Nothobranchius furzeri: one gene and its partner. The protein of the gene in region 1 interacts with the protein of each later gene in a pairwise test. Links are inferred from orthologs where the notes say so. Each region holds a gene or a part of one and is shown on either strand. Other genes may lie near its edges. The genes, in order: rchy1 and aig1.

Evidence for each region.
Region 2: the proteins of rchy1 (region 1) and aig1 interact in binary tests that used the Homo sapiens proteins (3 or more experiments, as listed by UniProt). The link is inferred for Nothobranchius furzeri from reciprocal best matches to the Homo sapiens genes RCHY1 and AIG1.

Annotation. Positions count from the first base shown.
Region 1 is NC_091757.1:28,790,661-28,795,025, reverse strand, and holds the start of rchy1 (RING finger and CHY zinc finger domain-containing protein 1), read left to right. Parts: upstream 1-1,247; 5' UTR 1,248-1,316; coding exon 1,317-1,367; intron 1,368-1,784; coding exon 1,785-1,904; intron 1,905-2,023; coding exon 2,024-2,139; intron 2,140-4,113; coding exon 4,114-4,192; intron 4,193-4,277; coding exon 4,278-4,322; intron 4,323-4,365. UniProt on the Homo sapiens protein: E3 ubiquitin-protein ligase that mediates ubiquitination of target proteins, including p53/TP53, TP73, HDAC1 and CDKN1B. Mediates ubiquitination and degradation of p53/TP53; preferentially acts on tetrameric p53/TP53.
Region 2 is NC_091742.1:15,117,360-15,121,821, forward strand, and holds the start of aig1 (androgen-induced gene 1 protein), read right to left. Parts: upstream 2,878-4,462; 5' UTR 2,722-2,877; coding exon 2,581-2,721; intron 1,418-2,580; coding exon 1,262-1,417; exon of another isoform or gene 1,203-1,261; intron 1-1,202. UniProt on the Homo sapiens protein: Hydrolyzes bioactive fatty-acid esters of hydroxy-fatty acids (FAHFAs), but not other major classes of lipids. Show a preference for FAHFAs with branching distal from the carboxylate head group of the lipids.

The DNA of each region.
Region 1 (4,365 bases):
GACCGAGTGTGGAAAAAAAGAATACTTGACTTGACTTGACTTAGCATTTAGAGTTAGATTCAGCATTTAAGTTTAGATTTAAGAGTTAGATAAACTGAAATTATCTGTTATTTAAACATTATTTTAAATGTGACGAAAGTTGTTAAATGTAGGGAAAAATTTGCTAAACATAAAAAAATGTCTGCTAAATAATTTGTACCAGCTATTTACACTTAGCATGTCATAGAGGATATCAAAGTAGCTAAACCATGATTTTCTGGCCTCCGTTAGCTTTAGTTAGCTTTTAGCTACATTGGCTCAGAGTCTGGGTGTCAATCATCAGCCCCCACCCTCACAGCTCCACTATCAGCTTCACCTTTTTTGCCCTTTTTTTAAATGAAAATGACCAGATGCCGATGCGGTTAAGATGGTAATTGGTGGGAACCGCCCACTAGGCATCAATTTAGCATTTAGAAGGAGATATTACAGATCCGTGCCCATGTTATATGTTCCATCCATTGTTATAGTCTATGGTTATAACGTGTTTTTTGTCATTTTGGATTGCCAGAATTAGATTATTTGTATCTATTTGTATTTGTATTTATTTTTCCGTCACAACAATACATATAAAACACATGAAAAGGAAAATAATTATCTAATAAAGATCATAATAATAATTTTCACAAGTATAAATTCCACTTGTAAATTAAACAGTTTCTTTAGATATAATTTATGAATGAAAAGGCATAGGCTGAAGTTAAACTTATTTAAGCCTACCCATTAATTCATTACAAAACCCATTAATTCATTACAAAATGTAAACAGTGTCACAAATATCAAAAGTAAATAAACATGTAAACAATACAGTTATTACATGCATCATCCTAATTTCAACAAAATCAATCAAGAGGTATAAACATGAATAAAACAAAATCAATTATCATTAAATATCAGATATAAAAAATTAGCTATATTAATACAGAATTACATACATGTGACATTTAAGTTTCTCCTAGTACGATTTTTACATCAGACTTTGAAAGTGTTCACTAACCAGAAAGAATGTAATTGTTCTGTTGTGCTGCTGAGGAACATGCTATTTTGAAGATGAAAGATATGACCTATCTGAAATTTTCATGCACATTAGAATGAACTGAACTTTTTCAATTTGCAATTTACATCCATTCCTGCTGCCATATTTCAATTCTGCCACGCACATCATATAATAGAACAGAAGGGAAACGATTAACATTGAATAAATGTCAAAACGGCTTGCCAAACAGCTACTATGGTGGCAGAAAACACGCGAAGAAGAAGAAGACCTCAGCGTAAGCAACATGGCGTCTCCATCTGGGTGCTCGCATTATGTCCGCAGCTGTTTTTTGAAAGTGGGTAAAGTGTGTGAAGTAAATCGCTTGTATTGAGGGAAATGTGAGTGTTTGGACTGTAATTGTTGGTGCTGTCGTTAGCAAAGCTAGCGGCGACGCAGAGGTGGCTTGTCGCTTATGGAAATGTTGTTTTATATGAAAATTGTTACGTAACGTTATGAATGACTGATCCGTGCGCGTTCCTCTTACCTTCATTAAAAAGAGAAAAGTGTTTTAGGGTTGTTGTTGTTTTTTTTTTTTTTTTTAGTTTTTGGGTTATCTGCCATCAAATCAGAAACTATCGTTTAGATTTAGCTAATTATTATATACACATGATGCCATATAGCTGAAAGTTTACGTGAGTTTTACCAAACCCGTTTACAGCTGAGCTGAGGCTGGCCTCAGACTGATGAACTAAACCTGTCCCTACACCTGCAGGCACCTTGCTGCGGTAAACTGTACGTGTGTCGGCTGTGCCACGATGCAGAGGAGAACCACCAAATGGACCGATTCAAAGTCCGAGAGGTGCAGTGCTCCGAGTGTCAAACCTTACAGCAGGTAAACACCTGGAGCTACTGTGTGCCTCATCTTAAATGTGGTCATTCCCACATTCCCTTGTGATCTCTGCGATGATTTAATCAGAAGAGTGGAAATAAAAACGAGCTGTTTTCCTCTAGACGCAGCAGACTTGTCAGCAGTGTCACATGCAGTTTGGGGAGTATTACTGCGACATTTGTCACCTGTTTGACAAGGACAAGAAGCAGTACCACTGTCAGCCCTGTGGAATATGCAGGTGAGAGACCATGGAGTTGTAAGGATGTAGTCCCAATATCACTAACCCTCAGCGTAGTGCAGAGGTCTAGAGCCAGACGTCATCCTTTAACGTGGTCTTGAACAATAGTTGTCGGGCTTTCTGACCATCTTGTTTTTTCTTGGTTTACTTCATACATGTCCATTTCCTCAGAGGAAGATCTGTTTTTATTTGGTAAAGAATTTCGCTGTTGTTATGCAGCAAAGAACACTGAGTTCAAGAACCCATTTTAGCTTGAATCTTGGATTGGATCACTCTTTTTTAATTTGTTAGGATTTGACCTATTTATACAAAGATGTTTTATAATCAATTTATCTGAATGAAAAGTACCACCCCACGAGAGCTGGGCTGAACTTTGGTTGGTGCTGAAAAAGCAACACGGCCTGAATCCGGGTAGAACGCTGAGAACATTCATCACAGAGTTTGGTCAGAGGTCAGCTGAATAGCACACATACAGTGGGCACTGAAGTATTCAGACCCCATCATTTTTTCACTCTTTGTATTTATATGGCAACCTTTTTGCTAAAATTAGTTAAATTCATTTTCCCCTCATGTATGTACACACAGCACCCTTTATTGACAGAACAACAGAAGTTTAGACATTTCTGCAGATTTATTCAAAAAAGAAAAACTGAAATATCGCATGGAAGAAATGAGGCTATTTAACAAAACACTATTTGCACCTATTAACCTTCAAATCTAGCCAGAATACATTTCTATATTTGATGGGATTATTGGCATTTTTATGCTGTAGGAGGAAAAAAGGTAGTTTTCATTGTTCATCTGCATTTTCTGTCTTGTACTTTTCACCCACTGTTTGAGTGAGAACTGCAGAAGAGCAGGGTGCTGTGGCCCGTGGCTCCTTTTGGATGATGTGGCCCTCTGTGATGTTTATATTTGAGCTGACAAAAGGAAAGGATAGTTTTGGAAGTTTTACCTCGGATATCTGCAAAACGTGCATGGACTTTCCACAGCAGACACACTAACACAAGTAGGTTGTTGGTGCAGTATTCTGCTTTAGTTTTCTCTCACTGGACCACTATTTATCTGACATTTTATCAATATGGGACGGACCCTGAGCATTATCTGGCAACAAGCTGCTGGAACATCTAAATATACGTATACAAAGTGATGCTGATGGACATCATGGGTTCATTTTTTTGTCCAAGAATTCACACAGGCAGTTACTTTTGTGGTTTGATGCTAATTATACAATGCTGTGCAAAAGTTTTAGGCAGGTGTGGAAAAAATGCTGTAAACAAAGAATGTTTTTAGAAATGTAAACAATGATTGTTTATTTTTACCAATGTACAAAATGCAAAGTGAGTGACCCCAAGCATCCAACAAAAGTCATTTCAGAACTAGTTTCAAGGTCCTGGAAGGGATGGTGTGGCCCCTACAGAGCTCTGATCTCATCACGGAGGGTCTGGCATCACATGAAGACAGAAGGACGTGAGGACACCTACATCCACAGGAGATCTGTGGTTGGTTCTCCAAGATGTTTGGAACAACCTACCAGCCCAGTTCCTTCAACAGCTGTGGTCAAGTGTAGCTAGAAGATCTGATACGGATTTGATTTAGATTTCTCTTTTGTTCATTCACTGTTTTTTGTTGATTAGTGAAAAATAAATGATTAACACTTCCATTTTAAAAAGCTTTCTCTGTTTACAGTATTTTTTCACACCTACCTTAAACTTTTGCACAGTTCCTTATTTCTGTATTTACAATCTTTCTTCTAATAGGGCTCTCCCAACATCTACATTTGAAGACTTTGTGCTAGAAGACTCAAAATGAAAGGAAAACTCAAACCTGCCCCAGATCTTATGTTGAAAACAAGAGCAAGAGTTCCAGAGAAAAAGTCGTGTCCACAAAGCTAGAGGGCTTTATTTACCTCACTTTATGTCATAAATGAGCTGCCATCACTAATCGGGTTATTGTGTGTTTGGACCTCCACAGGATTGGGCCCAGAGAGAAGTACTTTCATTGTGAGAAGTGTAACTTGTGTTTAGCCCAGGACCTACGAGGAAACCACAAGGTGACCAGAGCTCCACAGCTGTTCCTGTCTTCCTCTCACTAAAAGACCCACACCTGTTTTATTTTCTGTTTTGTCTTTGTTTCAGTGTGTCGAGAACGTGTCGAGGCAGGACTGCCCGGTGTGCATGGAGGTAAAAACACCTGCAGACATGCGCTAGAGGAGAGAAGTGATGG
Region 2 (4,462 bases), on another chromosome or scaffold:
CAGGATGATCATGTCCAGGATGACTGAGAACTACACCTCCATGCTGCAGCAGCATTCAGTCAGAACAGGAAGTGAAACTTAAACGTAGCTGCTGTCAGTAACAACCTAACAGATTTTAAACATTAAACTCAGTGTGATCAGCTCTGAAAAGCGTTGATCATAATTTGCAGATCCCGTCAATTTTTCATGGAGATCAGCCGCGGATTCCTCTTCCGTCAGCATTCTAGGAATCGAAACTAGGAATCGAAAAAAAAACAGACTTTGAACGATCCCGGGAAAAATGAACAGTTGGAACCGGTTCCAATCGATGCTCGTTGCCCAACCCTAACTGGAGGACATTAGGGTCGAGTCTCTGCAGCTTATTCATGTGTACCGATTTGTTGTGAAGGACTTTGCCTTGCATCAAACTGGCTAGATAAATAAAGTTTCAATTGAGTGTTGGATCAGAATCCTAGAAGATAAACCATGTCTGTGAGGCATGAGCAGGACTTTCCTGAGATGCATCACAAAAGCCTCATGTCCTACGGATCCTGAACGCACCATGAGAGGATGGCCTCAGGGTCCAAAGTGTCTCCATTGTTGGACAGAGGCCAGGACCAGTTCTACTGAAAAGGGATGGGATTACCTGCCTTTCACCTGTGCTCTAGTTCAAGATGCCTGACTTCACACACACACACACACACACACACATTCGACGCAGGTTTTAGACCAGTCGAGGTGAACATCCTGTCTTGTTCTGTGTAATCTGAGCTCTGCACACAGGCTGTGTGTGTGTGTGTGTGTGTGTGTGTTTACACTCGCTCTCCTCTGAGAAAGGCTTACTTCCTGCCGCTCCAGCAGGAGGGACCTGATTCAGGAGATAAAGCAGAAACCTGCTCAACATCATTAGCGGTGCAGCTAGCTAAAATACAACAACGCGGTCCCTAAATGACGATTGGCCGCATCCCCCGTCGTTTTCTTTCCTTTTCTATTGGTTGTTCTACCTGTTACCTGCAGCAGGAGGCTAAGCTAGCAACACAAACATTAGCCATTAGCATGTTCAGCCTCTACCACTGATTGGTCGGTGCGGAGCAACATTTAACATGATTGACTGGTTTATACTTAACTTTTCTCATATGTCTTACTACCGCCCTATTGCCCAGCCCCATCTGCACCAAGCGTCACCATGGCAACATCATCTCACAGTTCTCTCACTTATTGACCTCTAGCAGCTGACGCTGGTCTGGCTGTGTGTTCTGGATGTTTGCATCCATCTCCTCACCGCTCCCACGGGGAAGGCCATCACAGCCATCATCCAGTCCCTCAGGCCGATCAGCTTCTTCAGCTGGCGCTCCTGCTCCCTGCTGTCGGCTCCTTTAGTCAGCAGACTGGACACGTCGATCAAGACACACAATCCGAAGAACACGGCCTGGATCACCTGCAAAGAGGAGCAGCGACGGACTCAGCAGCTGCCAGATTACAGAGAACACCCAAATGTCCAACGATGGAAGACAGATGATGCAAACTCAGAGTCACTGTAAGCTGATCAGACGTCCTGCACGAACGCAGCTCGTGATCCTCATCAGAAAGACAAGTAGCCTCCGTTTAGAAAGCAGCTAAATAAGTTCATTAAAAATGCTGCAATAATAACCAGATCCTGTCACATGATCTGTAAATCCTGCAGATTATTTCAGAACCCGCCTAAACTTCCCTGACTGTGTAATAAAACTCCCGTGGATGGAGCACGTTCACCATGATGGTTGTGACCTTTAGCTGCAGCAGAGTGGTGAAGAGGATGTCGGCATCCCCCATTCTCTCACCCCTCCAGAGTATAGTGTGTCAGCAATGGATGAGAGGATGAGCAGACACCGGGTCTGCTAGGTGCTTCTCCGCTACATAAATAAGATACTCCTATGAGTAGTCAGCTAGCGCCGACACACACACTCACACACACACACACTTTCCTTTTTTATTTTAGCTTTTTCTGCCAAAAGTGACACGGTAAATAAATGAATCTTAAAAGACGCACCAGAGGGCATAGCGATTTCTGTGTCATCCTGTCACCATAACACTCATGTATCTGGTTAAGGTTTGGGAGGAGTTCTGCTGTGTGGTGGAGTTGCTAATGCTAACATTAGCTTCTGCAAGCGGGGATGTTCTCTGCTGTTTCCTGGACGCTAAACCAACAACAGCCTTCCCCATCGTGAGTCCAGATGAACGTGAAGTGAACCATTTCTCTGAACAGAGGCTGTTCAGGAACAACTCAGAACAGCTGACTCGGAACACTTTACATGTGTTGGCGCACGCCGCCCGGCGGGGGGTTGTCTCTAACGACAACATTCAGCAGCACAACACCTGTTCCGGTTCAGCTCACCTCTACACGCATTATCAGACACGTGATTTCAGGTTCGTGATCTGAAACTATCCGGTTTTTGTTTCCTCCCTATCGTCACTAGAGCCGAACAAAGACAGCGGCGGGAAACCGGATCCTTTCATCCGAACCCGCGCAGCTCGAGCCGAGGGCGCCGCCGCCGGTGTTCTGCGTCCTACCCGTAGGCTAATTTTACGGTAAAACGGAGAGACAGGGACGGTAAATCCCACCAGGTCGATGAAGGTGAGGAACTTCCAGCTGCCGCCGTAGGTCTGGTGCGCCGGCATGTCCAGGGCTTTGTAGTGGCAGAGGATGGAGAAGTACGACAGCAGGATGGCGACCCGCAGCACCTGCGAGGGGATCAGCGCCATGATGCTTCCGGTCCCTCCGGTTGTTGTTTGTGTTGATGCACCTGCTTCCACCTGCCCGGTGTCTCCGGTTAGCGGTGGTTAATGTCCGGTTGTGTCTCCCCGCACCGCCCAGCTCCCCCGGGGTATCTCAACTGCTTCCGTGTTATGATGATGATGTAAGGGGGAGGGCGTTTCTACGCGTGATGATGAAGATGAAGGCCACTGCCTGGTTTTACTCCAATGCCTGAAATAATAAAACACGATTTTGTTTCTTTGTGTCTTCATTTATCCTCAGTTTATGTAAAGTACGTCAAATATTTAGTTTGACGTCATTTTTCAACAGATTAGATCTTCTGACCAGTAGGAAAACCGATCTACTGTGGCCCCAAAAGGGAAGTAGAGAAAAGGCTGCAGCCAGATCATCCTTCTTCCCACCTTGGGTTTTGTGGTTTTTCTTTGCTCTTTTTAATAGTTTTTATGGCATATGTGAATATTTCTGTTATTTTATTTGTGCAGCGCTTTGGTCGGTTTTAATGCCGTGTTAAAAGCGCTCTATAAATAAAGTAGAGCCCTACAGTCTAGAAAACTGCAGCTTTTCCAATAAAACAACATAAAACTAAAGGTGGGACTAAAATAACATTAAAATCATTCACACATTTAATCACATCTTGCATTTGAAGCAAGACGAAACCTTACACTGACACACACAATAAAGCCCTGCTTTGCTTATGTTACTAAAATCCTGTGTTGAATAGAAATATAATTAGAACCATTTTTTCAGAAATTAAAGAGAGTTTACAACATTGTCTGCGTTTGTTGTTTAATTCTGTGCCTCACTAAAATGATGTTTAATATAAAAATAGCTTTTGGGACGAATTTCTTTGAATGATTAAAATGCGATTAATCAAGAGTAATTAATCACAAACCCTCTGAGTAATCAGATACATTTTTAAATCGACCCCCATCCCCGAAAACCTTACCCTGGTTTTCCATAGGAAGCTTCAGTGGTGAATATTATAGGTTTTGATATACTTTTCCCCCGCGAGCTCAGCAGCACGACCCTTCCCACCGGGAGCATTTCAAACCCAAATCAGCAGCGAATGCATTCCACAAAGTTGGTCCAGTTAGGTTATGAACTCTTCACACGTGATTTTGGCAGCATGTATCCAAAAGGTATGTGGTTTAGTTCCCATTCTGTTTACCTCGGCTTTGGAGGTTTCACAGGTAATGACGTGGTCTACTTAACTAGTAAAATACCAAGTTTACTCACAAACTGTTTAATTGTTAGTCGGTAATTTAGTTTCCCATGCAGGCTAAATGTAAAAACAGTCTTCTACCACCCTTTCCTACATTAGCTATTGTTAGTAGGCTATAGATGGAGAAAAGCTCAGAACATCAACACTAAGTGCCTTTCATGACACTCAAGGCAAGGGCGCCCCCAAGGGGTGGCCACGTCCCCCCCCCCCCCCCCCCCAAGAGCCGGTGTTAACAAATCATATTAATGTTCAGTCAAACCATAAATTGATCTTATTTATTCAAGACATAATTGAAAAATAAAAATTATACAATTAATCAGTAAATGTGTCATAGAAATATTCTTATTAAGTTCCAGAAGTTAAAATATATAATATATATTTGTTTTGCTGGTAAATCATTGTTTTGTATCATAAATCTGTGTTTTATTTTGCAACAAGTGGTATCTTTCCTCACTGAGTTACCGCGAGATTTGATGTGAGATGATACTTGTACGTGCATGAAGAAA